Canis lupus familiaris: one gene and its partners. The protein of the gene in region 1 interacts with the protein of each later gene in a pairwise test. Links are inferred from orthologs where the notes say so. Each region holds a gene or a part of one and is shown in the gene's direction. Other genes may lie near its edges. The genes, in order: ADAMTSL4, CPNE7, CFAP206, NATD1, TOP3B, LONRF1 and STK16.

Region 1 (4,028 bases):
CTTGGGTAGCTCAGTCAGTCAATTAAGCCTCGGACTCTTGTTTTGGCTCAGGTCATGATCTCAGGATTGTGAGTTTGAGCCTGGAGTCCAGCTCTGCATTCAGCAAGGACTCTGCTTGAGTTTCTCTCTTCCTCTCCCTCTGGCCCTCCTGCTCTTGCTGTCTGTCTGTCTCTCAAATAAATAAATAAATCTTTAAAAAAAGAAAAAGAAAATAGTCAACCCAACAATCTGTCACTATGGTTCATGAGTAGATGGCAAATAAAAATCTTAAATAGTAGTAACCATTTATTATCTACTCTATGTCAGCCATGTTGTATAAATTATTTATTTATTAACGTAACTAAACATAGAGCTTCTGGGTGAAAACTCAAACAATACATAAGCGGACAGGGTAAAAAGCTAAAGCCTATTTTTTTTTTTTTTTTTGCTCCCCAGTGTGACCACCCTGAGTCTGGGGTGCATTCCTCCAGATCCGGGTGGGCAGCCCTATCTCCCAGCCCATCAGACACGTCAGATTAGTTCCATTTTACAGACAAGGAAACTGCAGCACAGAAAGGTTGAAGTCTTCACCCAGGGTCACACAGCTGGCGCCTCCTGGAGCTAAGATGCACATCCAGATCCTCTGACTCCTAAGTCAGCGCATTTCTTCTGCTACACGCCCTATGTGTGTAACATTTTTTTTTTAAAGATTTTATTTATATATTCATGAGAGAGACACACACACAGAGAGAGACACAGAGAGAGAGGCAGAGACACAGGCAGAGGGAGAAGCGGGCTCCATGCAGGGAGCCCGACGCGGGACTGGATTCTGGGACCTGGGGTCACGCCCTGGGCGGAGGCAGACAGACGCCCAACCGCAGAGCCAGCGTCCCCGTGTGTAACGTTTTATGGATGGAGAAATCGAGGCTCGTCGAGGTCCCCGAGCCGTCACACCGCGCGGCCACAGCCCCACCCGGGGCAGGCCGGGCTGATCCGCCCGCACGAGGCTGCGCGGAGCGGCGGGGGGAAGCCTCCGCTCAGAGCCAGCGAGCAGGCCGGGCCCCCGCCCCCCGCCCCGCGCCCCGCGCCCCCGCCCCCGCCCCCGCCCCAGCCGGGCCAGCGCTCGCGCCAGGGACCCGCGGGGCCCGCACGCCGGGTGGTCGCGGCCCGCGGCGGGGGCTGGGGGCCGCGGAGGGGCGCGGGGCGGGCGGGCGCCAGCAGGCAGGGGCGGGGCGGGGCGGGCGGGGGGCGGAGCCGCGGCCGGAGGCCGTGGTGTCCCGAGCGCGGCTCAGGGGCCGGAGTGGCCGTCGCGGAGCAAGGCTGCCTCCAGACAGCGCTCGGGCACAGAAGGGTTAAGGCCGCCGGGGCCGCGCGGAGCAGGTACAGACCCCCCTCCCCGAGACCCCGGCCGCCCGCCCTCCCGCCCGGTCAGAGCCCCCGCCGCGCCGCCCCCGCGTCCCGCGGTCGCCACCCCAGCCGCTGCTCCGGCCCCAGCTCTGTAGTCTCCGGAGATCTTCCAGTTCCGGGGGTCGAATTCCTGGGGAGGGGATTCCGATCCTGCGGAACTCTGGCCCCATCACCCGGTCGGAGAATCAGCCAAAATTCCTACTAAGTCGCGGGAGTGAAGTTGGAAAACATACCCAGGACCTCCCCGCACGCGCTGGCGCCTCCTGCCCTCCTCCTCCGGGAGGGTGCTCCTTCGAGGATGTGTGCCTCTGCCACCCCCTTAAGTCTCGGGGTTGGGGCCAGGGACGCTGGGACCGGTGCCGGGGGTTGCCCTTGATCCAGCTCAGCCCGAAGACTAGAAAAGGAAAGACACCTGTTTGGATGGTCCTCCGGACCAGGGAATGGAGGGCACAGTGAGGACCAGGAAGTTCTGACCCAGGAGAGGGGCTCTCCTGGAACACGCTGTCCCACCCCTCCCCTGCAGCAGCAACCCGTTTCCCAGAAGTGGGTCCCTCTGGGGGTGAAGGGGTTAGCCCTGCCTGGGTCTCTCCTTGATCCTCACTGGCCAGTGTGGAGCTGTGGCCAGGAGGAGCCCAGGTTTGTCCAGACCAGTGTCTAGCCTGGTGCCGGGGTGACCACTTCTGACCTCTCCCTTCCTCACCCTGGGCAGTGAGACACCCCACATGAGGAACATGAAAAGGGGTGAGAAGCACAAATGTATGTCTGTCTCTGCAGTGGAGGGGGTGTCGGCCCCCTGCCCAGCTGTACAGGGGGTGGGGTAGGACTTTTCCAGAGAGGGAGCCAGGCCTGGCCAGGGCTCCAGGAGTTCACGTCACCCCCACCCCCCACCCCTCACTTCTCCAGGGAACTGCCAAAGCCAAACCCAGCTCAGGACGGGATTATGTGTACTGGGTAGACCCGCAGAGAGAGACAGCAAGATACAGAGCCGGGGTAGCAGAGAGAAGCAGAGACTGTCCAGAGGGAGTGGAGAGGGTAGCCAGCAGCAGACAGGGACAGATGGTGACCATCACCCCCATCTCTCCTCTTCAACCACAGGAACAGAGGCAGGCCAGAGCTAAAGGTTTGGGTGGACCGTTGGCTCTTCTCAGAGCCTCTATACCCCCATCAGGGTGGAGCAGCCATCAGCAACCCCTTCTCAACCTAAAGCCGCTGAGGTGACCCTGTGCACCCAGGCCCAACCTCTGCAAACCCTCCCACAGACTTCCAAGTCTTGGGGTCTCAGAGAGGAGACTGGGGCTGAGAGTGTCCTTACCGCCAAGTACATTCCTGCCCTTCCGTCTCATTCTCCTGCCCCCGAGCTGGCCCACCTCGGCATCAGCTCCTTGGATTCCTCTCCTGGGTGCCTTTCAGATCCAACAGAAACATTTTTTTTTTTTTTTCCTGGAAAGCAGAACCAAGAGCAGGTTGAGGAGTGAGGGTGGGAAGGGCTCAGAGTGAGCAGCAAGGGGCTGGAGAGCTTTGAGACCAGGGGTGGGTTCCATGCTCTACTTTGCTGACGATGAAAGGTAGGATGGACTTCCTTACTCCTCAGAATGATAGGCCTGTGGCTGGGGAGCAAGGGCAGCTCTAGCTGCATCTTTCCTTCCTGGGTACCCCCAGCCTGTCATCGTTGGGCCTGACATAAGCTCTCATTGCCAGTGCAGAGGGATGGGGAAAATCACCTGCTTCTCCAGAGATTAAATCATCAGCCCACTTAGTTTATCTCTTGGCTACAAAGTGTTTGAGTCCGGCAGAGATGCCTGAGTGTTCCAGAAGGAGCTTCGTTAAAAATGGGAGAAAGAGCTGGGTGGCAGGTAGGGAAAGGAACTCCCATGGGGCTTCTGGTCCACTCCTTGGAGTGGGTGTCCCACATGTTGTCACCCATGCCTCCCTCGGCCATCGGGGTCCTCTGGGAGGGAGGAGGGCAAACCAGATCAGAATCATCTTCAGGAAGAGCGTGTGCTGTGTGGCCCAAGCTGTCCTGTAAACAATCCCTAGTGGGGAGGAGGGAGGAGCTGAGGAGTTCCTGCAGGCTGACAGGAGGGGACTGAGCCACTGAGCCACGGTCTGGAGGCTGAGGTCAGCCCCCCACCTTCCAGCCTCAGCGGCCCAGGAAGGGCAGCATTCCTTCCTGCTCTCACCCTTAAGGTCAGAGGGGGTGGACCACTCCCCCCACACCCCTCCATCCTCTCTCAGAGATGCCCTTCTGAGTAGCCCTCCGTGCCAACCCCCTGGCTTTCTGGCGCCTGGAGAAGTGACCACATGGCTCCTGTCCCCACAGAGCGTGCCCTCTCAGCGCCCAGATGCGGGAGTAGTGTGTTTACTCCCGGTCCTCTGTCCCCTGCCCCGGGCATCCAGGGAGGAGCGATGGAGAAGTGGGCGGGCAGGTAAGTGTGGGGCTGCCAGCCGGAGGGCCACTCTGTCCCTGGAAGTGAGGGGACGGCCACTGCTGGGCAGGGCGGGGGCAAGTGATGGGCAACTTCTGCTTTCTGAGAAGCTGGCGCCGGGATGCTGGCTGCCCGCTGCGGGGCGGGGTGGGGGGTGTCACAACACCTCCTCTGGCTGGTTGGCAGGCCCCGGTTATGTCTGATGCTGCTTCTGTC
Region 2 (3,500 bases), on another chromosome or scaffold:
AGCCTTTCAAGGTCACCCTGAGCAGTCTGTGCAGCGGCCAAGAGACACGGCCTCTGAAGGTGGGGCAGCATGGGGGGCCGGTGGGGGCGGGGATGGGGACTCCAGGTGGGGGTCCCAGAGGGGCAGGCGGGCTGAGGGGGCCTGGGCTCCCCAGTGCCTCGTCTGGGATTACGACTCCCGTGGAAAGCACGACTTCATCGGGGAGTTCTCCACCACCTATGAGGAGATGCAAAAAGCTTTCGGGGAGGACCAGGTGAGCTGGGGCCCCTCTCCCCCTTCCCCCGAAAACAGGGTGGAAACGGGGTGAAAGCCTAGCTCTGGTCCTTCTGCAAAGGGTTCCCTGGGAGGAGCCACAAGGAGGCAGGTAGGGCACCTGCCGGAGCAGGATTTGCTCTGGAAACTCTTACTACTGGGAAAACCCAAAGAAGATAGGTGGTGACCACGCCTGCCAGGGGCCAGAGCAGGGACAGTAGTCCGCTCGGTACAGCAGCAGAAATGCAGTTCAGGGCTGGGGGTTTTGGGTTTTGTTTTTTTAAAGATTTTATCGATTTATTTGAGAGAGAGGGAGATAAAGCAGGAGCAGGGGGAGGGGCAGGGGGAGAGGGAGAGGCAGGCTCCCCTCCCCACTGAGCAGGGCTCCATCCCAGGACCCCGGGATCACGACCTGAGCTGAAGGCAGACGCTTCACCGACGGAGCCCCCCAGGTGCCCCTGGGCTGGGGTTTGAGGCCTCCCTGCCCCCTTGGGGTGGGTGTTGGGCCCTGGCACTCTGGGGTGGGGGTGTCTGCCTATCCCTGCCCCCCAGGCCCAGTGGGACTGCGTGAACGCCAAATACAAGCAGAAGAAGCGTCATTACAAGAACTCCGGGGTGGTCATCCTGGCAGATCTGAAGGTGAGCTGCGCCCCCTGCCTGCAGACACCCCACTCACCCTCAGTGGGCTGGGGGCTGGCTCCCACCGAAACCGCCCCTCCTGCAAGTCTCCCCATTGTCAGACGGACCCTCAAAGGCCTCCCATCCCAGAGGTCCAGTGGTCCCCAGTAATGGGGAGGGAGGTGAGGAGGGATGGAGGAGAGGAGGTGTCAGAGAAGGGAAGTGGGGGGGTGCTGGGGGTCGGGTGACCCTGGGGGGAGGGCAGCTCCCTGGGGCTCCAGCCTCAGTGCCTGGGTGTGGGGTGCCCCGGGTGGGCCCTGCTGACGCCCCTGCCTGGAAGTTCTACAGGGTTTACTCTTTCCTGGACTACATCATGGGCGGCTGTCAGATCCACTTCACAGTGAGTGCACAGGACCCTGCTCCCCGCCCTGCCGGCAGAACCTGGGGCCCTCCCCATCCTGGATGGGGCGGACAAGCATAAATGGGTACAGTAGGCACTTCTGCAGGGTCTGGAGGTCCTGCACACCCCCTGCCCAGGCTCTGGGTTCTTCAGGGGGCGACTTTTCCGATGCAGATGAAACAGGCACAGAGGGTCTCCCTCGGGAGGGGATGTAGCCAGGACAGACACAGTCACAGAAACCCAGGTGAGGAGAGAACAGAGTGGCCCCTGTTGCTGCCAGGGACAGCACCAGAAGCCACAGGCCCCTGCTGGTGTGGGGCTGGCCTGTAGCTAGAGAGCCTGGTGTCCCTGCCTGTGTGTCACCTCTTTGCTCATTCATGGACGCATGGGGTCATGTCACTCCCCTGAGCAGCAGCCACCATGGTCTGAGGGAAGTGGCCCAGCAGGGGAAGTCCTTGGGGACCCCAGCCCAGGGCTTGTATTCTCAGACCCTGCCTGGGCAGCGTGGCCGCAGAGACGGGATGGACCTGGTCATGGCCTTGGGTCCCTTCTGGCCACCCCTGCCCCGGGCCCAGGACACTGCTGGATGAGCCCAGGGCTCAGTGTGATGGCACTGTGGGCCATGGGCTGGCGTTCCCTGGAGAGGTGCTTGTTTCTGCCTGAGGATACAGGCTTCAGGGTCATTGGTCAGCACTGACGGATGCCCGCTGTCCCCAGGTTCCCCTCTGTCCTCCACCCCAGCAGAGCTGGGCCCTCGGAAGGCCCTGGAACTGCTCTCGTTTGCACCCCTTGGCAAGCAGCTCCCCACGGCTCATTCCCCTACTTGCCGAAGGGGGTTCTGGGTGCCTAGTCCAGCCCAGGTGAGAGAGGGGCCCCCAGCTCATGAGCCCGGGTCTCTGCAGGTGGCCATCGACTTCACAGCCTCCAATGGTGACCCCCGCAACAGCTGCTCCCTACACTATATCAACCCCTTCCAACCCAACGAGTACCTGCAGGCCCTGGTGGCCGTGGGAGAGATCTGCCAGGACTATGACAGGTGGGGCCTGTCCCTCAGTCCCCAACCTGCCCTCTACCCTCTGCCTTGCCCTGCCCCCCTGACCTGACCTGTCCCCCTGACCCATCCCGTCCACCTGACCCACCTTTCCCCTCTGACCCTCCCTGTCCCCCCCGACCCACCCTGTGCCCCCCACCTGCCCTGTCCCCCTCCATCTTCCCTCTCTCCTGACCTGCTCTGTACCCCCCACCCTCCTTGTCCCCCACCACCCGCCTCTCCCCTTCCCCTTCCTGCCTCCCTGGCCTCCAGCACAGGCTTCGGCCCAGGGGGTGGGCACCATGACTGTATCCACCGACCAGAGGAAGCTGCCCAAGGACGGCTGGCAGTGCCTGGGCCACAGTGGGTGGGGCTCATTCCATGGGCTGGACCCTGGTGTCCTTGTGTGGCTCCTCCCCATGGGTAGTCCATCCCCTGAGGTGAAGCATGAGTCAGAACCCCCATGTGCTACGGTGGGGCTGCCCCTCACGTGTTCTCCTTCACACAAACATGGGGAGCGGTCTGTGGCCCACTTTACAGTTGGGTAAACTAAGATCATGGTGGGGTAGACCCCTCTGTGAGAGGGTGGGTGGCAGAGAGCTGAGGTACCAAAGGCAGGAGGCCGGTCCTTTCCAGGGTCAGGCTGTGGTCCCAGAGCACAGGCTTGGAGAAGGAGGCGGCGGCTCTCCCCACCACTGGAGGCCACTGTCTTCTTCGTGCACTGCCTAAGTGTCCCCCATGTGGTGCGAAGTGGGACTGGGCGCCCAGGAAAGTGTCAGGGTGGGCCTGGTCACACAGGGGTGGAATCGAGCCCCACTCTCTTGGTCCTGGTGGATACCTCCCCAAAGCACCCCCGTCCCTACCCCCGGGAAATCAGGGACCCCTGTGTGATGGGGCCACCTCTCTTCCAGCGACAAGAGATTTTCTGCTTTGGGGTTTGGAGCTCGAATCCCTCCCAAGTATGAGGTAGGAGAGCCTGGGGAGTGGGACCCCAGCCCCTTGTACCTGCTGGGGCCTCCAGGGCCACGCAGCTTCTCCCCAGCAGAGGCTGTCCTGGGTCCTGGGACCCCTTGGCTGCTGGGAACTGGTTCCTATGTAACAGGCAGTGGGCAGGTTGCAGGGACTCTGTGCTTCCTGCCAGAGAGGCTGACCTTGCTCACCTAGCACTAGTGGCCCTGGAGAGCTGAAAAGAAACTGTGT
Region 3 (4,135 bases), on another chromosome or scaffold:
ATGTCCATTGGAGAGGGGCACCTGGGGGGCTCAGTCCATTAAGCGCCTGCCTTCAGCCGGGCTTGTGATCCCAGGGTCCCGGGATGGAGCCCCACACCGGGCTCCCTGCTCAGCCTGGAGCCCGCTTCTCCCTCTGCCTCTGCCTGCCTCTCTCTCTCTGTCAAATAGATAGACTTCAAAAATAAAAAAATAAAAAAATAATAAAAAAAATTAAAAAAAAGTCCGTTTGAGAAAAGCAAGAGTCCAGGGGGATGAGGATTTCTCATTGGCTGAGGTACAGGGGTATTCGATTTCTCATAGGTTACAATGTACAACTTCCCTGTTCAGGCTGTAATTGACGATTCTTTTCCTTTTGAAGATTCTTCCGTTGCGGTCTTTAATTGGCAATTCTTCCTATAATTTAATGGTGGAGTGGGAGGGGCTTCCCCTTGCAGGCACCCCTTCCAGCCTTCCAAGTCCGCTTTTAGGGAGACTTCTCTTCATTAATTTTCACCCAAGTAAATACTCTTAAGAAACCTCGTGTTTGACACCCTTAACCACTAAGGTGCAGTGAGCCTGCTTTTCTCTACCAGGTTTGGGACCTTCTATATATTTTGTTCATTTCTGTTTTTAAAAATTGTTGCCCAGGGCAGTCCGGGTGGCTCAGCCCGGGGCGTGATCCTGGAGTCCCGGGATGGAGTCCCACGTCGGGCTCCCTGCATGGAGCCTGCTCCTCCCTCTGCCTGTGTCTCTGCCTCTCTCTGTGTCTCTCATGAATAAATAAATAAAATCTTTAAAAAAAAAAATTGTTGCCCATCCCTTCGGGCAAAGTCTCTGGCGTTTGGGCGCGGCCACGCCTCCCCACGTTGGCTCCGCCCACAAGGCCCCCTGGGTTGGGCCTCCGCGTTCTGTCTCCGCGGTTACTGGGCCCACGCGGAGTACCGCGGCCTGCCCGAGGCAGGGCAGAGCGGGGCGTGGAGGGGCCTCGAGGCGCCGCGCCCCGCAGCCCCAGGTGTACCGCCAGAGGAGGCCGCGTGCGCAGCAGGTGGAGCCCCCGCGGCTGGACGCCCGGGGCAGCCTCGGTTGGGACTCAGCTGCCGTCAGAATTCCTTTCCCGGCGCCCAGACTCAGCGGAAACAGGGGTGGTGTCCGGTCAGAGGCGCCCAGGTCGGCAGGTCAGACCTCTCATCCCGCTGAGCGCGCGTCTGAGTCTTCGGGTGTCTGCGGGGCACCGCGGGAGAGGGGAGAAGTGGGGCGGAGGCGAGTCCGTAGCAACCCCCTGCGGCCCCGCCCCCGCCGCGGCCCCGCCCCCGCCCCGCCCCCGCCCCGCCCCCGCCGCGGCCCCGCCCCCGCCGCTCTCGCGAACGCGCGCAGGCGCCGCTGACCCTGAGTACCTGTTGCAAGCCGCTGTTCTAATCGCTTACTTTATGCCTTTTATGCCTCGCACTGTTTTAACCAGTAGGTGCACAGAGCTCGCTTAGGTCTTGGGACAATCTGGGAGGAGGGTACTAGTCATACCAAAGTTTCAGAGAAGGAAACCGGCTCTCAGAGGGGGGAAGCAAATGCTTAGGGTCTCAGCTAGAAAATGATGGGGTCGCCACGGATCCCAGGCCGTCTGATTCTACTGGACAAAATGCCAAGCGCTACCTTAAATGAACATTAGTGATGCTGAGAGTTCGCTTTATCTACCCGGATTGCCTTTGTTCCTCTCTACGTGCAAAGAATCCCAGTGCTCAGTTACTGATGCTTGGGAAGATGGGGAAACTCATTAAAACGTACCACCCTTTATTGGTTTGTAGTAAATGGAATTAATAATTTAGGAGTTTATCTTTCAAAATGTCCATATTTCACATAATATGTTTTGGTTTTTTTTTTCATTTATATTTTTAGTCAAAAGCCCAAACTCCAGCTGGGATGCGCAGGAAAGAGAATTTAGAGGATTTGAGCAAGAATTGTTTTCCTAGAGTCCCATGTAATTATGAGAGATCACTTAGTGAATGTGGCGGACTAAACATTTCCGCCTAAAAACTGTATTTTGCCACCTGCACCGATAGGACTGGGGTTTCTCATTAAATCTACCTCCCTAATACAGTTCAGTCATTAAATTGGAAAAATATATATCATGATATAAATATACCTTTGGTAATCACCAGCATTTAGACTGTCAACCTAAAAACAAGAAACCAGTTCAAGAGGCAAAGCGGTTATTTGTGATAAAAGGATTGCAATTGGGGATGTACAGATTTGGGTAGAAACCCAAATAGTTCGCCAATTAAAGGAGGTGGATTCAGGGTTTTTATGGAAGAAAAATGTTTGGGTAGGTTGTTTTTAAGAAGAGCTCTTTGGTGTTGACAAGCAGGGCTAGATTTGTACTTCAGTCATTGGGTAAGTGAAGTGGTCGCTAGTCAAGAGTTCTTATTTATTGCTTTTCAAACAGGATTTTCTCGTTCTTGCTGACTCTTGGGATGTTGGCAGTTGGGCTTAGTTCAAAGGTGTAAAGAAGAGAAGAGGACATGCAGAGCAGTTCCCCTGAAATGGCTGCTCCAGTTCTGTTTTGAAAATGGCTCTATTTATGTCATTTTTCACAAAATAGGAAATACTTCCGTTCCAATTTGAAGTCCTGATTGCTCTGTCATCAACAAAGTCCTTCAGTTTTATAAATTAGAGAAAAGTTTTTAAATTTTTATAGATGCTAATAAATACTAATAGGTTAATAAATAATAGAATGACTCTTTACAAATCTAAGAGGAAAAAATCATATATAAATACAGTTCTTTAAAAAAATAATCATTGTTTTACTTAGGCAGAATGCCTCCCACTCAGGCAGAAAGTGTTATAAAGAATATCATTCGAGAAATAGGACAAGAATGTGCAGGCCATGGAGAGATTGTTTCTGAAACTCTGGCTGCTTTTATGGTAAGAATGAATATTTTTTGAATTATTGCTTTATTGAAAAATAGCTTTAAGTGGTGCTGATTTCCCTCTTAAGATTTTGTGAAGCTTTCCTAAATGTTACTCTGCTGAAAACATATTGAGGCCACTGGACAAGTTAGCAAAAATTATTTTTTTCTATGAAGCATGTCATTCTAGATTTATAGACACTGATTTAGAAGATCTTGATTTGTTTTAGAAGCATCGGTAATATTGTTGTGTCAGAGCTGTAGCATGTATTTTTGTTCACTGTTATAAAAATTACTCATTGCCTTGGTCTCTCTATTCTTGCTTTAGATTTAACAATACATAATAAAAATATGATAAAATATTCAAATAGTTTCCCAATCTAAAATCTATTCACTTTTTTCAATTTATTTCTCCACATAATTTTTCAAACACCATATTCAAATGTGATGGTTATTGCTTGCTTCCTTCAACCTCTAATGAAAGCACTGGTGAATTGGGTAATAATAAGAAAATCAGCTGAATAATCGACCCCTGAGTAATCAGGAGGCAGTTTAAAAAATGGAAACAAACCAGTTTCATAATTATATGAAATAAAATTATTTAATAGCTTCTTTCCACTCTCAGGTGAAAGCTGTTGTCTTGGACCCCAGTAATGGCTTTAACATGGATAGAACCCTCATGAAAAGTGATGTACAGAAACTTGTTAAGGTGATTATACGACAGTTCTCAAATTTTAAATTATTTGTTTGCAATTCTGAATACAATATATGTATTAGCCATTATTGCCTTCAGCTTCATGAAACAAAACCCTACCAACTGGTGGTACAAAAAAAATGTGAGATTTATTGTTTCTCATAAAGTCTAAAGATACATAGGTTGTTTTTCCTGGCTTCCTGGGTCACCATCTTGCATGTGCCAGTTGGGTCAGTCACTATATTCAGAAAGTAATAGCTTTCTTAGAATTTTTCCCATCTGTTTACATTTATTGACCAGAATGGTACTGCAGGCGAGCCAGGGACATTGATTTCTTTTTCTGTTTTCAGCTGAACAAATCTTGTCCCCAATCCAGATTGGGGCTGTTGGTAAGGAAGGATGGATATGGATACTGGCAGGTAGCAATGTCATTAAATGTGTATTTTAGAAACATCTTGTTATTAATCTAATGTTACACTGAGAACATTAACTGACTGTTCATATACTATAGACCTAGCACTAAATTAAGATTCAGATAATTATTCATTCAGTGTAATTTGTG
Region 4 (4,291 bases), on another chromosome or scaffold:
TCTGCTCTCTTTCTGGAGCTCAGTTTCCCCATCTGTGGGGTGGATCCCAGGATCTCCAAAGCTCCCTCCTACACTTCTGCCTCTTTTGGGGTGAGGCGGCATTTCACCATCCGCCCTATCGCCCTATGGGCTACCCCAAACAAGGCTTCTCAGGTTTGACCCTCCTCACAGTCACACCTGCGTATAGGTGCCGCATCTGCAACATCAACCGTCCCCCTGCTGCTTATGAATTGCAGCTGTGTGCCTTGGGCCTCTATTCCTTATCTGTAAACTAGAGTCAAGCAGAACTATTTTCCAGGCTCGTGATAAGAATGTTCACTGAGGGGGGGGCGGCGGGGACTAACCCTACGCCTTGCCCGCAGCCGCGCCGCCGCGCCCTCTGCGCCCCCGCCCGCGCCCCCGCCGCCCCGTCGGGCCAGCCCGGCCTGATGGCGCAGATGGCGTCCACGGCAGCCGGGGTGGCGGTGGGCTCGGCTGTGGGGCATGTCGTGGGCAGCGCCCCGACCGGAGCCTTCAGCGGGGGCAGCTCGGAGCCCGCCCAGCCCGCCGCTCAGCAGGCCCCCACCCGCACTGGGCCCCAGCCCCTGCAGATGGGGCCCTGCGCCTAGAGGTCAGGCAGTTCCTGGACTGCTCCACCACTCAGAGTGACCTGTCCCTGTGTGAGGGCTTCGGCGAGGCCCTGAAGCAGTGCAAGTACGACCACGGTCTGAGCTCTCTGAGCCCCCTGCCCTGAAGAGACAGGTACGGACTGGTGCGGATCCCTGAGCCAACCCTGCACCCACCTTCACCCCTTCACCGACAGCCGGACCATGACCTCAGATTGTACCCATGTAGCTGGGATTGGGAATGAGGAGGGGGGTTTCTCACCCCACAGATGACCGGAGACGCAAATGTGCAATTAAAAGAGTTTATTTTAGACCATTAAAAAAAAAAAATGTTCACTGAGCGCAGGTGTAGCTTACCAGGGCTTTGCCCCGCACCCGCTGCGCACACAGCAAGTGCTTAATAACTGGTGGCTTCGAGGGGAGGATTAGAGATCCCCGTATATAGGTCGTTTCATGTTCTTGAGAAGGGGTCCGTGTAGGGGGCCCAAGTGGCTCGCGGGTCCAACGCAAGAGGGCACAGCGTCCCCGGGGCGGACGCGGCTCGCGTTGTTTTGTTTGGAGGGACGAGTGGCACGCGGCCAGGGAGGCGCTCGGCCCCTTTAAGAGTCGAGTGGAATGTATCAAAACAGAAAGGCCGCGTGCCCATTGGCCGCGCGCCGCACGTGACCTCACAGCTGATTTCCTGGCCCCCCTCCTTTTTTTGTTGCTGCCGCCGCCGCGGCCGCCGCCGAGTGTCAGTTTCTGCGCCGCCGCCTGCGGTCCCCCGGCCGTCCCGCGGCCCCCCCCCCCCCGCCGCCGCCGCCGCCGCCCCGCCGCGGGCCCGCGCACCTCTCCGCGCGTCCGGCCCCGCCGAGCCGGCTCGGCCCGAGGGTCCCGGCGGCCGCTGCCGGCGCTGCCCCGCGCGCAGATGGCGCACTCGGCGGCCGCCGTGCCGCTGGGCGCGCTGGAGCAGGGCTGCCCCATCCGCGTGGAGCACGACCGCCGGCGCCGCCAGTTCACCGTCCGGCTCAACGGTAACGCGGCGTCCGGCCCGCCCCCGCCTTTTGTCTGCGAGCGAGCGGGGCCCGCCGAGGCCGCCCCCTAGCTGGGGCGCGCGCCCTCGGCCCCGGGCCCGGGAGGGGCGTCGCGAGCGCGCGCCGCGGGGTGGCCTCCGCGGGGCCCCGCTCCGCTCCCGCTCCGCCCCGCGCTCCGGGAGCAGGCCACGCGCTGTGCCCGCGGGCGAGGCGGGGGCGCGGCCGGCTCGCGGGGCAGGGGTGGGGGGAGGGGGCCCCGGGGCAGGCAGAGGTCCAAGCAGGGCCGGCCCGGGTCCTCCGCCGCCAGCACCCAGCTTCAGGCCGCAGGGGACCCGCACCTGCTCCAGCGCCGCCGTGTCCCGGTGTTGGACACCCCCTGGGGGCTGTTGTGGGAGTCCTGGAGAGTGAGTCCACCGTGACCTCCTGCCTCTCCCTGGTGGCCACACGGCTTCTGGCCGCCCCTGGGAACTTTAGCTTTTCTGCACCCGGGTTGGGGGCATCTCCTGGGCAGACCTGGGGTGAGGGAGAGAGGGGTGTCTGCTTCACGGGGGGCGGGGGGGGGGGGTGCGATAGAGGGGAAGGTGTCACCATCGGTCCGTTGGCTCTGAGACTTTGGCCAAGTGACCTCCACTCTGTGTGCCCCGGTTTCTCCATCTCTACAATGGGAGTGACACCAGTGCACACCTGAGCCCTGGTTGGAGGGACAAAATGCTGTAATAATGAGAGTAAAGAAGCCTTAGAATAGCCCTGGCAGAGCAAGTGCTGCTCTACTGATGGTGGTTTTGAAAACCAGAAAGCAAAGTCTTCATTTCCTGTAAAGAAAGTTTCCACCACTTACTAGCCTGTGCCCCCTCCTGGCTAAGAGGTCTGAGGGGACAGAAAATAGAATGATAAGATCTAGGATCAGGAGCTCTCTATGCACCCCCTCTCTGCATTAATAACTTTTTCTTCCATCCCAGCTGGGCCCCCCTGCGGCAGTGTCCAAGCCAGAAGGGCCCTCAGAGGCCATTGTGCCCATTTCTGACAAGGGAAGACAGAGGCTCGGCGAAGGGAGAGGCTCGCCTAAGGTCAGGCAGTGAGTTAGGGCAGAGCTGGGATAGGATCCCCCCTAGTGTGAGCCCTGGAGCTGGGCTTATCCAGCCTGTACTTGCACGGGAAGTCAGGAGGGGCTGGGGCAGGGACAAGGACGGACCGCATCCCTGCTACAACATCCCCTTCATGTGGGCATTCTCACCCCACGTTACGGATGAGTAAACTGAGTTTTGAACGGTAGGGGAGGAGTGACCCCCCAAAGTGCCAGAGCTCAAGCCCAGGCCCGACTGACCAGGCACCGTGTTCTTTCCGTGTGGACGCAGGTTCTTCCACCACTGTGGTGCTCACTGTGGTCCAGGTGACCTTGACACTCCAGTTGGCCACTTGTGTGGAGGGTCCTTGTGGCTTTTCACAGCTTCTTTTCTGAGGTTCCAGGGAGGCCTGTGTTTCCCTAGGGGCTCAGGAGGTTCCTCTGTACAGTCAGAAAGTTTGGGGTTTTCCTTTTTGTTGCCAATCAGTCCAGCCAAAGGACACCCCTCCAGGATTGGCAATGGTCAAGGCTGGATGTGCCTAGCCGTTTTTCTAACCTTGTCTCCTGCCCTTCCCTGAATGGCTAACTCCATCATGGACTGGGGCTCCCCAGCCAAGCCCAGGGAGCAGTGGGAGGCCACCAGCTTCTGTCCAGCCTGGGAGGGGGGTCTGGCTGTGTATATGGGGAGTAGTAGGGTGAGAGCATCCATGTCTGGGCCTGGGCCTTTCCTCAGCTGCAGAGGGTAACGTCCTGCCATAGAGCCCCCCGAACAGCAGGGCAGGCCCTGGAGACTAGCTCAGGGTGCCTACCGAGGGAGGTGAATGCTCAGCCTGAGAGCCAGAGCAGCCTCTGGGGCCATCCCCCTGGCAGAGCTGTACCAATGAGTTTCTAGCGAGCTCCGCTTGTGGGCGATGGCAGAGGCTGAGCCACTGCATCCGAGTCCTTGCGTCCCGGGCGGGTTCTGGGCATGTGGCGGGGGGGGGGGGGGGGGGGGGGGGGGTGAGGGGAAACTGCTCTTCCTGTTTTATAGATGAGGATCCCTAGATACAGGGAAGTGACTGGCTTGCTCAGGGTCTTGTACTCAGAGGTGGGAGAACTGGGATCCCTCACACAGGCTGTTATTGAGTGCCTACTGTGTACCAAACATTGTTCTAGGTGCTGAGTACTGGTAGGCTGACAGTCTAGACGGGCAGTAGACAATATGTGAAGTGTCAAGTGTCCTAGAAGGCAAGGGCCTGGTTAGGCAAAGGCTGCTGCCTAGAATCCAGGGTCCAGGGGGGCCACTCTGGGAACGTGCCAGTTACTTAAAGACCTAAAGGAGGCAAGAAGGGAGAGCTCCATCAGACAGAGCACTCCAAGTGGAGGAGGCAGCAAGACCGAAGGCCCTGTATGTCATAGGTGGGGACACCAGGGCACATAGCCAGTAGGCATCTAAGGCAGCACTGAGCCCCTGTCCCTGGGAAGTCCCTCCTTGGCCTTAGCTCTGACCTCCCAGCCAGGGCTGAGTGTCCCACGTGTTGCAGGGAGGAAGGTCATCTGGGTCCTAGAATCCTGGTGCTTTCTGCATGCTCCCTGATCCCCAACCCTGGGGCAGGGTAAGCCCTGACTTC
Region 5 (3,500 bases), on another chromosome or scaffold:
GGGGAAACTCTTCTCTCTTGCCTTCCGTGCCATGTGTGCAAACACATGATTCCTCTCTACCCACACACACCTTTCCCGGCCCCTGTGCTGAGCCACGTTCTCACTCTGTCCCCTGTCTTCTGAGCAGGGGCACTGCCGCCAGCTGGCCCCATGCTGGACTCAACGTGGGTGATTAACGATGGTGGCTTTGAGTGCATACGTGACCAGAATATCTTTCTCTACCCCATGCCTCCTTGTAGATTTCAAACTAAGTACTTCCAGGGAAAATATGGCAATCTAGACAGCTCCCTCATCTCCTTTGGGCCATGTCAAACCCCTACCCTGGGCTTCTGCGTGGAGAGACATGATAAAATCCAGTCCTTCAAACCGGAGACGTACTGGGTGCTGCAGGCCAAGGTTTGCTTTCCCTTCCCTACACACGCTGGGTCTTTCCAGGTTTGGGCTGTGGACTCTGAGGGTCTTCTGTCATCATCCGGCCCATTAAACCCCCGAGGCCAAGGGCACAGGAGAGACGCCAGAGTGGTCTGTGGGGTGCTCAGGGAAGGGATCCCAGCCTTCATAGGCCTGAATGCATTGAATTTAGAGAGGCAAGAATGAACTCAGCCTTGAGGGGGAGGGGGCCGGGTAGATCATGCCTCAGAACAGTCAGCTGTGATGGTCAGGTCCGAGGTTTGGACCAAGGGCCATAAGCCACTGACTTTCAGACTTTTTGAAGTCTTAGAACCATTTCTCCAAATAATGCCGTCCGTGTAAGCTTCTTACAAGATTTAAAGCAATACAGAGCTGGTCTGGTTGACATAGGGCTGGGGGCCCCTGTAAGGACTACACCTAGTGCTGGCCAGGTGTCAGAGGGTGGGCAGGGATGGCATTTGTGACGGAGGTTCCAACACCCTTAAGGATACAGCAGCCTTGGCTCTGGGCTCCCCTTACGAGACTACTTGCCAAATCTCAGGGGAGAGGCCTGGAGTCAGGGCAGCCTTTCCTTGGGACAGGGCTGGGTCTCAGCCTACATATCTGTGCACCTCTGCACACCTGTATAGGTATGGCTGTGAGACCTTAGAGCCGGGACCATTTTCTTCCCAGAGGAGGACCAGCTTCATCTACCTCGATTCTCTTCCCTGGCAGTGTGTGCTCACCTGGACATTTTCTTTCCCGTCTTCTGCCTTTGTACTTTTTCCTATAGGTCAATGCCGATAAAGACAGATCTCTTCTTTTGGACTGGGACCGAGTACGAGTGTTCGACCGGGAGATCGCACAGATGTTTTTAAACATGACAAAGCTGGAGAAGGAAGCCCAGGTGGGCCTGCCCCACGTGTATCTGTCACGTTTGCTCGGGGCAGGGGTAGACCTTGGATGCCTCTGGCTAGAAGAGTAGCTCGTGACCTAGGGTCCCATCTTTCTTTCCTTTCTGGAAATAGACATCTTGTAGAAAGATGGACAGTTATTGATGCAAGCGGTAACTGTGTGCTACATCCCTGCTCTGTACCAGGCATTGCCCCACATCCACGACCTGCAGCCCCTATCCATGTGACCCCAGGGGCATTATCTCTTTTTGGCAGGACTCCATTTCACACCAATGTGCCTTTTCTGTGATACGGACGCTAACAACTCTAGAGGGACCTGTGTGCATGTCAGTGAACTCGGCCGAGGTCACACAGCTAGCATGGGATATCCCAGGCTCAGTCAGCTTTCCTGGCCTTTATGGTGCTGTGTTTTTTACTCAGGTTTTTTATGAATTTGAGAGTCATGTGCTGGGCTTTTAGGAAGAAGGTGATGCCACCTGGCAGGGGGCTGGCTGCCTGGGGTGGGGGCAATTCCACCGCCACTGCAGTGGCCCACAGCCTTACCAGCTACCACAGTCGTGCAGGTACGGCCTGGCCTTCTTCAGCTGCCTTCTCGTCCTTTTCAAGCTTTCCTTGGGTGCCCTCTGCTTAGACATGCAATTGATGCAGGCTTCCAGAACTTCCTCCAAAGCTGCTTCACACTTTTTCTTTTTTTTTTTTTTCTTAAGATTTATTTATACATGAGAGACACAGACTGAAAGAGAGAGGCAGTCATAGGCAGAGGGAGAAGCAGGCTCCTTGCAGGGAGCCCAGTTTGGGACTCGATCCCAGATCCCAGGATCACAACCTGAACCGAAGGGCGCTGCCCAATCGCTGAGCCATCCAGACGTCCCTGCTTCACGCTTTTATCCTTGATCGTGTTCTCAGGATACCCCTTGCCACCATCTCCAGGTCTCACCCATAGTGATCCCAGCTTCCACTGCAGCACACACCCATTTTGGACTAAATTTGCCCCCACATTTGTCCTTCTGGAATCCACAAGGCACTGCCCTGATGCATGGCTGGTCTCTGTGGTGTTAGGAGGGGCAAAGCATCACAGTTGTTTGGATTGTTTTAGCCACAGGCAAGACAGTCCTCTCTTCTGACAACCGTTCAGCCCAGAGTTTGAAGCTGATTGATATTTTATTTAAACTACATGCTGTTTACAAACATTTCAAAACAGTTACCAACATTGGAAAATTACAAGATTTCACATAAAAGGCCTGATTTGCAGCTTTTGTTGACAAACTGGAAGATGTAGCAACACCAGTAACCCCTGGTGGGAGCACTTGGGTGCACCGAGAGGCAAGTGGCTGCCCAAGGTGGGCCTGCACTCCGTGGCCTGCCGCAGGCCTCACCTGCCGTCCCAGTGGCCTGGCTGTTTCTGGCTCCTGTAGGATGAGTTTGTAACCCCTTCTCCTGGCTCTTCCCCATTCTTCTATGTTTCCTCTTTCCCTAGAAAGTTCCCCAGAAAAGAATTTTCTTTTTCCCTTCCTCGGACTGAATACATATTCAAGTCTTGAGACCATGGTGAAGAGTGAAACTGAGAAGCAGGGAGACCAATTGAATGAAACCAGACCCTTTGGCCCACACATCCTGATTCTCTATTGTGGTGTCTTTGCCCCTGCCACCCCAAATCCCTGAACCTATTCTGTCTTGTAGGTGGAGGCCACAAGCAGGAAAGAGAAGGCCAAGCAGAGGCCCCTCGCCCTTAACACTGTGGAGATGCTGCGTGTCGCTAGCTCTTCTCTGGGTATGTAGGAACGTTCCTCTAAAGCCCACAAAAGACTTCCTGGGTGGGACACCGTGAGCTATTCAGCCCTGGTGCAGCGCCTGGGGTTGCAGGGCAGCGCTGATGCTCTCACCTCTGCCGGCACTCTCCCTCCATGCTCACCTGTGCCGAGTGTTTCCCCCCCCCCCGCACCTGTGCTGAGTAGCCCCTTGCATGTTAACCTGTGTCAAGCCACAGCCCACCTGCAGTATCTTGCAAGGCTTAGTGGGAATCTGAGCCTAATGCTGAGCTAATTTCTCTTAAATTCCAGAGTGGAAATAACTAATAACAAACTAACAAACATGCAGGAGGATCCTATTTCAGAGGATTATTGGTTAATACTCAACAGCTTCTTTGAATTTACGTGGAGAAAATTCAGACTGTTTTTTATTACTAGACATCCATGC
Region 6 (3,500 bases), on another chromosome or scaffold:
CCCTTCCTTCCTCTCCTGCTCACTAGATCCTCCTTCTTCTTCAAATAGAGGTCTATTATTTATTCACTTTTTCCAATGTATAGTTTAACGTGAAAACTAACATGTATTTTGGTTGGTTTCAGGTTGTTTTTTGAGCCAGTAACAACCCCTTGTGGACACTCATTCTGTAAGAATTGCCTTGAGCGTTGTTTAGATCATACACCATATTGTCCTCTTTGCAAAGAAAGCTTAAAAGAGGTAAACATTTGTATATTTATCTGTTTATTGGTCTTAAGCTTGGCAACATTGATTTCTGTTTGGCCATAGAAATAGTGATTACCACGTTCAGAATAAGTTACTTTATGTATGCTAAGTGACCAGGAAGGATAACGTTTCATTACCCAAATGCTAGTGGTGGAGAAAGAAGAATTTAGAGAGCATAGGGGAAAGTTAGGTGGTCCTGGAGGCCAAGCCCCATGTACTTTTTTTTTAACAAGATCTGGTGTGATCAAGTACCTGGTGTAGAATGGGTTCAATTTTAATGACAGTATTGGGGAAACCCAGTTGCCCTGCCTTCCATCCTCCTCAGTAATAGGCTAGATTTTGGCCCCAGTTCTGCCCCCTTTAACATCTGGACAAACTCTAATAGAATTTTTTGCCTTGATGGAAATGCTCTATACTATGCTGTCCGCATGGTAGCCACTAGTCACATGTAGTAATTAAGCACTTGAAATGTGGCTAGTGTGACTGAGGAACTGTATTTTAAATTTTAATTCTCATTTAAGTAGGCAGAGGTGACTGTGGCTACCATTTGGGCAGCACAGCTCTAAAGAGTGGTATATGGACAGAAGAGCTTCCCATAGCCCTTGTATAGCCCATGTGTTAAGGAAATAGCTAGATCTCAGGTGCATATCCTTCTGTAACCAATGGAAAGACAACATTCTACCAATCCTGCTTGGGTGACTGGAACCCCCCCCCCCCCCCATAAGGTGAGGCCCAGGCATCATAATTCTGAGCTCCAACTGCAAGGATGGCATTGATTAGGGAGAGTGATCCTGTTTCTTGTGGTGATAGGATTGCTCAAAAAAAATAAAAAGTTGATAAGACATTTTGTAAATGAATGTGTGTATTTATTTCCTATATAGAAAACACAGCTCTGTACAGATATGATACCATATGTGTATTATTAATTTGATATATAATAAGCTTGTATGTAAAACATTAAACCATATACAAATTTTGTCCAGAAACAAGATAAACTCATTCTTAAAGAGTTTGTTAGTTACATTTCAGCTGATATACTTAATGTTTTCAGGTGAAGTACTCCAATCATGCTGTTTTTCTTGTGTTTCCAGGTTTTTAGATACTCTGTAGCACATTTATCACACTTTTTCTCTAATAATTAGACACGATGGCTTTAAATAAAGATACAATTAACACACTGTTTAAAAATAACCTTATCCTGTGTCTTAAAGATATCCTGTATAGTAGGTAAAATCTAATATATATCTTAAAAAACAAATTGATATGCTCTATAGTTTTACTCTTTTCCTACTTGTCATTTTCTTTTGCTCATTTTTTCATTTGAATGTATTCTAAAGATAGGATTTTTATAGCAACATAATAGTTCATTGATTTAACATTTCCCTGTTGTAAGTTGTTTTGTTCTTTTTTTATATATACTACACTTTGTGTCTTTGACTATATTTCCTTAAGATAAAATTTCTGGAAGGTGAATTATTAACCAAAAGCCATATATTCATAAGACTCTTAAAACCAATTACTGGGTTGCCTACATTCCCCAGAAATATTGTACAGATTTAATTTCCTATCAGTAATGTAAGAGAGGTGGTTATTTCCCCAAATTTAATATAAGAGTATTACATTATATATTATTATTATATAGCCCCATGGTTTTCAAAATGTGTTCCCCTTCACCTGGGAACTTGTTAGAAATACAAATTCTCAGACCCTACACTCCACAGCCACTAAATCAGAAACTCTGTGGGCTAGGGCTCAGCAATCTGCATTTTAACAAGCCCTGATTCGTGCTGAAGTTTGAAAACCACTACTGTTACCCGTTTCCCAACCTCCCACATTCCCTCCTCCTCCTCTGTTCTTCATTGGATAATGACAAACCCTTATTTTTGCTACATCTGCAGATTTTAAAAGTATGGCTTCTCTGTATCTTGTGATTGTCTCCCAAAAGTCATTCCTCACTACTTTTATGAAATTTATATTGGTCATTTTTGTGTTCGAAAATCCTGTACACACCCTCTGACCCGGTCCCTGGCCTTAGGCAGTTTTTAAACTTATCTACAGAAATATAATGTCTCCTTGTCCATGTAATGAATACGGTGCAGGGTGTGGTAACTGCCTTTTATGTGGTAAAGGCGGTAGAAATGGGCTTCTTGCGAGCCAGAAAGATAATTAAGGCAGACTTCACGAAAAAGGTAAAGATGTAGCCAAGCCTTGCAGGATAGGCAGGCTTCTCATAGCAGGAGGGAGAGAGGCACGGCTTTTAGCAGTTACTAGAGAATGACAGAAATGTGTGAGTGGCAGTTTTGCAGAGTATTGAGGGAGCAGTACAAATGCACCATTTTATATGGAGAGGGACACAACCTCTCGCTGAGGGTCTGAGTGATTGATAGTAGGTGATGAGGGAAGCAAAAATCTGAAAGAAAAATTATCTGGAAACTCTGCCACTGAAATGGAACAAGAAAGGGAATAGTTTTGCTTTTCTTAAATAAGGCACTTGCCTTTATTTTATTAGCTTATTTTTGTTTCTCAGTTAAAATGCTAGTTTGAAGTACCCAGAAGCTGCCCGATAGAAGTTGGCCTTTGGTGTGGGAGAGGGCAGGGCAGGCCTGAGTGCTGCTAATAGAGGATTCGTGGCCACAGCCAGACAAGGGTCTTCTGTATAGGGCACGGTTTCCACTGCAACCGTGTACCTTTATTGGTCTCAGCACAGCCTGGACAGGTTGACCTGTTTAGCACCATCTGTTGTCATGTTCCCCCCCTCACCCCTTAATTCAGAATTGACTGTATAAATATGTAATAAAGGCTTTACTCTATTCAGTTCAACTGTTTTGCCTGTTTTATACCATAGGAAAAGTACTGGAATGTAAATAATATTGTCTTTTAGTATCTAGCAGATAGGAGGTACTGTGTCACACAGCTGTTGGAAGAATTGATAGTGAAGTATCTGCCTGATGAGCTGTCTGAGAGAAAAAAAATATATGATGAAGAAACTGCTGAGCTCTCACAGTAAGTTTCTTCTCATAAAGTTAATGTAATCCCCACCCTTTGACACAGTAAGGCGACCTCCTCCCAGCAAGCTGGATCCTGTCTGCAGTTCAACCCAGTCTAGCCAAAGGCGTATTTTAAACAAATAACTGGTCAGCTCCCCCCTCTCCTCAACAGACAGAAGTTTTTTTTAAAAGTTTCTTTAGTAACTTCCAGATGTTCCACTGGGGGTTGCCGACTCAGCTCTTCACCCCGTTAGCAGGCTTTTAGGCGGA
Region 7 (3,956 bases), on another chromosome or scaffold:
TCCTACCTCAGACCTATTAGAATCAGAATTTGGATTTTAACAAGATTCCCAGGCGATCCGAAAGGCATTCAAGATTGAGAAGCACTGTGGTACTAAACTGAGCTCCCTGAGGGTGAAGAGTACCTTGTCCATCTTGCATCCTCAGCTTCTAGCACGGGACTCGGTACATAGCAGGTTAAATCTAGATGAATGAATGTCGGAACCAGGGGGCTAAAACAGGTTCGGAATCAATCTTCCCAGTGGTGTGAAAGTAGGAACCAAGTTATAAATGGGATTTTTTTTTTTTTCTCCTAGTGGCCCTGCTACAGCAAAAGAGACCACCTCAGCCATTCTGTCTTCTTTGGATGTCCACCGCTCTTCAATTTATCCCTGCCCTGCCTCAGCGAGAGCTGTCAAGAACAACTACCTGGGGCCAAGGCTTGGGAATTTATGAATTTCCATGACTCCTGCCTTCACAATCCCAAGCCTGGGATGTAAGGACCAGGATAAGAAAAATAGAATCATAATAAAAATAACAGCAACTTCTATTTATTGACACCAAGGCTGTGTCAGATAGTGTGCTAAGCACTTTACATCTCACTTCATCTTCAAAAAGCTCCGTGCAGTTGGTAATTATCACTCCCATTTTACCCATGAGGGAATTGAGAGGCAGAAATTTTAAATAGTCTGCTCAAGGTCACGCAGCTAGTTTAGCAGAGCTGGGAGCTGCAGCCTGGCCTCCCCGTACGGGCACCTAACCTTAGGTACTGTTAGAGCTTGTTTACAACTGGGGAAACCGAGGCTCTGAGAGGTTAAGTCGTCCAAGGTCACGCAGCTAGTAAGCTCTTAACCACTGAAACTAGGGTAGTGGGATGCAGGCCTGAGCCCCGAAGGGTGCACCGATCGGCGCTGTGGGGGTCCAGGCCGCCGGCCCCCGCCCGGCCCCCGCCCCTCGGGGCTGGACTGCAGCTTCCTACCTCCGGCATTGGGAGACGGGGGGCCTGGGGGGCCTCGGGCCGAGCCCGGCTTTGCTCCCCTTGGGCGCGGGTGCCTGCGTCCTGCCCACTACTGAAGGCCTGGTGTGGAACCCTCACCGGGTCCCGGGACCCGTGCTCCCCCGCGCCTTAGCCCGCCCCCGGCCTCTCAGCTCCGCGCCCCCACATCCTCCGGATGCCCTGCGGTTGCTAGGATACCGCGGGCCGTTACGCCGGCGCGGCCTGATGACGTAGACGCTCCTTCCGGTCCGCGGCGCTCGTCTCCGGCCGGAGCCAGGTCAGTGGGGAGTCGGGGCCGGCCCTCCCGGGGCTCTGCGCGCCGAGGCCGGGGCGGGCCCCGCCGGGTGGGCCCGGGCCTCGCCCCCACGCTCCGCGGCTGCCGAGGCGGCCCGACGGCGAGGACGCGGCCTGGGCGTCGCGGCGTGGCCCGAGGCTCCAGGGCACCCGACCTCGGCCGTGCCCGAGCCGGCGTCGCCAAGGCTCGTTTCCTCTGCGTTCCGAGGCCCGGGCGCCAGCTCTGCACGTCGGCACTTCGGGGGTCGTGCCTGGCCCACGACCCTGCCGTCCTTTGCCTTCCAGCATGATCCGCGGGGCCCCCAGCGCGTCGCCTGGAAGAGCCCCCTCAGCCCGCACGCGGCCGTCGGCAGCCCCGGACCGCCCCTGAGGAGGATGACTGAGGCGCTATGGGCCACGCGCTGTGTGTCTGCTCCCGGGGAACCGTCCTCATTGACAACAAGCGCTACCTCTTCATCCAGAAACTGGGGGAGGGGTGAGTGTTGAAATCGCCTAGCCAGCCCCCAGGGTTCTGGTGAGTGAAGGACAGCAGTCTGCACGTGATAGGGCCTCAGGAGGTTCATCCTTGTAAAGCATCCTTTAGCTCCCCTGACAGAGCCTAGCAACCCGAATGCCAAGAAAGTGGATTCTGGAGCCAGGCCTCCTGGCTCCACCTGGTGTGACCTTAAGCCGTGGTTTCATCATCTGCTTAATGGAGATAATCATCTTTTTTTTTTTTTTTTTAAGATTTTATTTATTAGAGACACACACACACGCACATGCACAGGCAGAGGGAGAAGCAGGCCCCATGCAGGGAGCCCGATGCGGGACTCGATCCTGGGTCTCCAGGGTCAGGCCCTGGGCTGAAGGCTGCGCTAAACCGCTGGGCCACCCGGGCTGCCCTGGAGATAATTATCTTTTGTCGCTGATGGAGTTGTGAGGATTAAATGAGATAGTGCATAGAAATCATCTCACCAAAAAGAGAAAAAATAATAATAATAATCTCACCCAGGGCCCGGTTCACAGCACTTGACAGATGTTGACTGTTACTTACTCATGTAACATTTCCGGAGCATTTGTCACGTGCAGAGCTGTGCATTATGACCAAGGTACCTCAAAGATTGCTGTGTTCCTACCCTTGAGCTCAAAGTGTAAAATCTTCAGACTTCTCCTGAAGCCACGTCTTGGGAGGGTTTCTGCTGACTGGGAAAGACACCCCCTCCCCTCCCCACCCAGGGAGTTCCTCTGGGTCCAAGCAGTGTGGGAGATGACCGTGGTCCTTCACTGACCCCTTTGGCCCACAGTGGGTTCAGCTATGTGGACCTAGTGGAGGGGTTACATGATGGACACTTCTACGCCCTGAAGCGGATCCTGTGTCACGAGCAGCAGGATCGGGAGGAAGCCCAACGAGAAGCAGACATGCATCGCCTCTTCCATCACCCCAACATCCTCCGCCTTGTGGCTTATTGTCTGAGGGAGCGGGGCACTAAACATGAGGCCTGGCTGCTGCTACCCTTCTTCAAGGTCAGAAAGTCTCCTGGCAATGGAGGGGCTTGCAACAGAGTCATCTACCGAGGGCTGTGTGAGTAGCCAAGCACGTTAGGAAGCAGAGACCATGTCCTGTGTTGGACCGCTTCAGATTTGGGGTTTAGGGGAACCCAAGTGGGACTGTGAGGTGTGTAGTGTGTGTGGTGAAAGAGCTGCTAGGCTGTGACACAGGGAAGGGATCAGGCTGAGGGAGCAGAGACCCAGAAAACCTGTCCAACCGTGGGGAAACTTGTGTTGCAGAGGGGTACGCTGTGGAACGAGATAGAAAGGCTGAAGGACAAAGGCAACTTCTTGACTGAAGATCAAATCCTTCAGCTGCTGCTGGGTATCTGCAGAGGCCTTGAGGCCATTCATGCCAGAGGTTATGCCCACAGGTCAGTGGGAGGGCCCAGTGTGCTTATGGGGCAGAAAGAAAGAGCCTCACCAAAAGGATTGAGTGGTCTCTGCTCTCCTCCCAAGGAACAGTCCCCATGATTCTTTTGCCCCCAGGGATTCTAGTCTCCCTATCCAGGGATGTTCATGGGCCATTTATTTCCACTTTCCTGCAGGGACCTGAAGCCCACCAATATCTTGCTTGGAGATGAGGGGCAGCCAGTTTTAATGGACTTGGGTTCCATGAATCAAGCTTGCATCCATGTGGAAGGCTCCCGCCAGGCTCTGGCCCTGCAGGTAAAAGAGTGTCCAGGTTCCTTTGCCCTCCTGTTCCCCATCCTCAGCCTTTCCTGTTGCATGCCCCAGTTTGGTCACATGACTATGACCTGTGCCTCTCTTTTGAGCTATGGGGCCACTCTTCCAGGACTGGGCAGCCCAGCGATGCACCATCTCCTACCGCGCCCCAGAGCTCTTCTCCGTGCAGAGCCACTGTGTCATTGATGAGCGGACTGATGTCTGGGTGAGGAGCATGTGGGGGGGCACATGGATGGGGAGGAGTACCGCTCTGTACCTGCTGTGCAGCAGAGGGGCAGGTCTTTGGTTTCGATTGCATGGGGCCCCAGGAACCGTGTATGTCCCCATCCCCCTCGACTTCCTTCCTGGGAACCGTCACTGACACTGTACTCAATTGCTCAGGAAGTGGTATCATTCCTCCCTTTGAACAGAATGAGTACAGCTAAGTGTCAGGACTGAAGGCAGTGGCAAGCAGGGGGTGCAGAAGCCTCCAGC

What was found.
Region 2: the proteins of ADAMTSL4 (region 1) and CPNE7 interact in binary tests that used the Homo sapiens proteins (3 or more experiments, as listed by UniProt). The two-hybrid records come from large-scale screens. The link is inferred for Canis lupus familiaris from reciprocal best matches to the Homo sapiens genes ADAMTSL4 and CPNE7.
Region 3: the proteins of ADAMTSL4 (region 1) and CFAP206 interact in binary tests that used the Homo sapiens proteins (3 or more experiments, as listed by UniProt). The two-hybrid records come from large-scale screens. The link is inferred for Canis lupus familiaris from reciprocal best matches to the Homo sapiens genes ADAMTSL4 and CFAP206.
Region 4: the proteins of ADAMTSL4 (region 1) and NATD1 interact in binary tests that used the Homo sapiens proteins (3 or more experiments, as listed by UniProt). The two-hybrid records come from large-scale screens. The link is inferred for Canis lupus familiaris from reciprocal best matches to the Homo sapiens genes ADAMTSL4 and NATD1.
Region 5: the proteins of ADAMTSL4 (region 1) and TOP3B interact in binary tests that used the Homo sapiens proteins (3 or more experiments, as listed by UniProt). The two-hybrid records come from large-scale screens. The link is inferred for Canis lupus familiaris from reciprocal best matches to the Homo sapiens genes ADAMTSL4 and TOP3B.
Region 6: the proteins of ADAMTSL4 (region 1) and LONRF1 interact in binary tests that used the Homo sapiens proteins (3 or more experiments, as listed by UniProt). The two-hybrid records come from large-scale screens. The link is inferred for Canis lupus familiaris from reciprocal best matches to the Homo sapiens genes ADAMTSL4 and LONRF1.
Region 7: the proteins of ADAMTSL4 (region 1) and STK16 interact in binary tests that used the Homo sapiens proteins (3 or more experiments, as listed by UniProt). The two-hybrid records come from large-scale screens. The link is inferred for Canis lupus familiaris from reciprocal best matches to the Homo sapiens genes ADAMTSL4 and STK16.

The regions. Positions count from the first base shown.
Region 1 is NC_049238.1:60,392,771-60,396,798, forward strand, and holds the start of ADAMTSL4 (ADAMTS-like protein 4), read left to right. Parts: upstream 1-1,228; 5' UTR 1,229-1,359; intron 1,360-1,619; exon of another isoform or gene 1,620-1,780; intron 1,781-2,698; exon of another isoform or gene 2,699-2,826; intron 2,827-3,107; exon of another isoform or gene 3,108-3,706; 5' UTR 3,707-3,792; coding exon 3,793-3,812; exon of another isoform or gene 3,813-3,998; coding exon 3,999-4,028. UniProt on the Homo sapiens protein: Positive regulation of apoptosis. May facilitate FBN1 microfibril biogenesis.
Region 2 is NC_049226.1:64,449,365-64,452,864, reverse strand, and holds part of CPNE7 (copine-7), read left to right. Parts: coding exon 1-59; intron 60-154; coding exon 155-253; coding exon of another isoform or gene 254-292; intron 293-804; coding exon 805-891; intron 892-1,210; coding exon 1,211-1,270; coding exon of another isoform or gene 1,271-1,355; intron 1,356-2,172; coding exon 2,173-2,306; intron 2,307-3,211; coding exon 3,212-3,266; intron 3,267-3,500. UniProt on the Homo sapiens protein: Calcium-dependent phospholipid-binding protein that may play a role in calcium-mediated intracellular processes.
Region 3 is NC_049233.1:47,142,735-47,146,869, forward strand, and holds the start of CFAP206 (cilia- and flagella-associated protein 206), read left to right. Parts: upstream 1-1,335; 5' UTR 1,336-1,406; coding exon 1,407-1,437; intron 1,438-2,782; coding exon 2,783-2,895; intron 2,896-3,504; coding exon 3,505-3,588; intron 3,589-4,135. UniProt on the Homo sapiens protein: Essential for sperm motility and is involved in the regulation of the beating frequency of motile cilia on the epithelial cells of the respiratory tract. Required for the establishment of radial spokes in sperm flagella.
Region 4 is NC_049226.1:42,921,049-42,925,339, reverse strand, and holds the start of NATD1 (protein NATD1), read left to right. Parts: upstream 1-1,491; 5' UTR 1,492-1,512; coding exon 1,513-1,618; intron 1,619-4,291.
Region 5 is NC_049247.1:31,374,837-31,378,336, reverse strand, and holds part of TOP3B (DNA topoisomerase 3-beta-1), read left to right. Parts: intron 1-239; coding exon 240-396; intron 397-1,183; coding exon 1,184-1,297; intron 1,298-2,984; coding exon 2,985-3,075; intron 3,076-3,500. UniProt on the Homo sapiens protein: Releases the supercoiling and torsional tension of DNA introduced during the DNA replication and transcription by transiently cleaving and rejoining one strand of the DNA duplex.
Region 6 is NC_049237.1:37,049,457-37,052,956, reverse strand, and holds part of LONRF1 (LON peptidase N-terminal domain and RING finger protein 1), read left to right. Parts: intron 1-122; coding exon 123-237; intron 238-3,124; coding exon 3,125-3,246; intron 3,247-3,500.
Region 7 is NC_049258.1:25,668,451-25,672,406, forward strand, and holds the start of STK16 (serine/threonine-protein kinase 16), read left to right. Parts: upstream 1-1,156; 5' UTR 1,157-1,251; intron 1,252-1,553; 5' UTR 1,554-1,657; coding exon 1,658-1,743; intron 1,744-2,332; exon of another isoform or gene 2,333-2,347; coding exon of another isoform or gene 2,348-2,356; intron 2,357-2,551; coding exon 2,552-2,771; intron 2,772-3,035; coding exon 3,036-3,169; intron 3,170-3,343; coding exon 3,344-3,464; intron 3,465-3,591; coding exon 3,592-3,687; intron 3,688-3,956. UniProt on the Homo sapiens protein: Membrane-associated protein kinase that phosphorylates on serine and threonine residues. In vitro substrates include DRG1, ENO1 and EIF4EBP1. Also autophosphorylates. May be involved in secretory vesicle trafficking or intracellular signaling.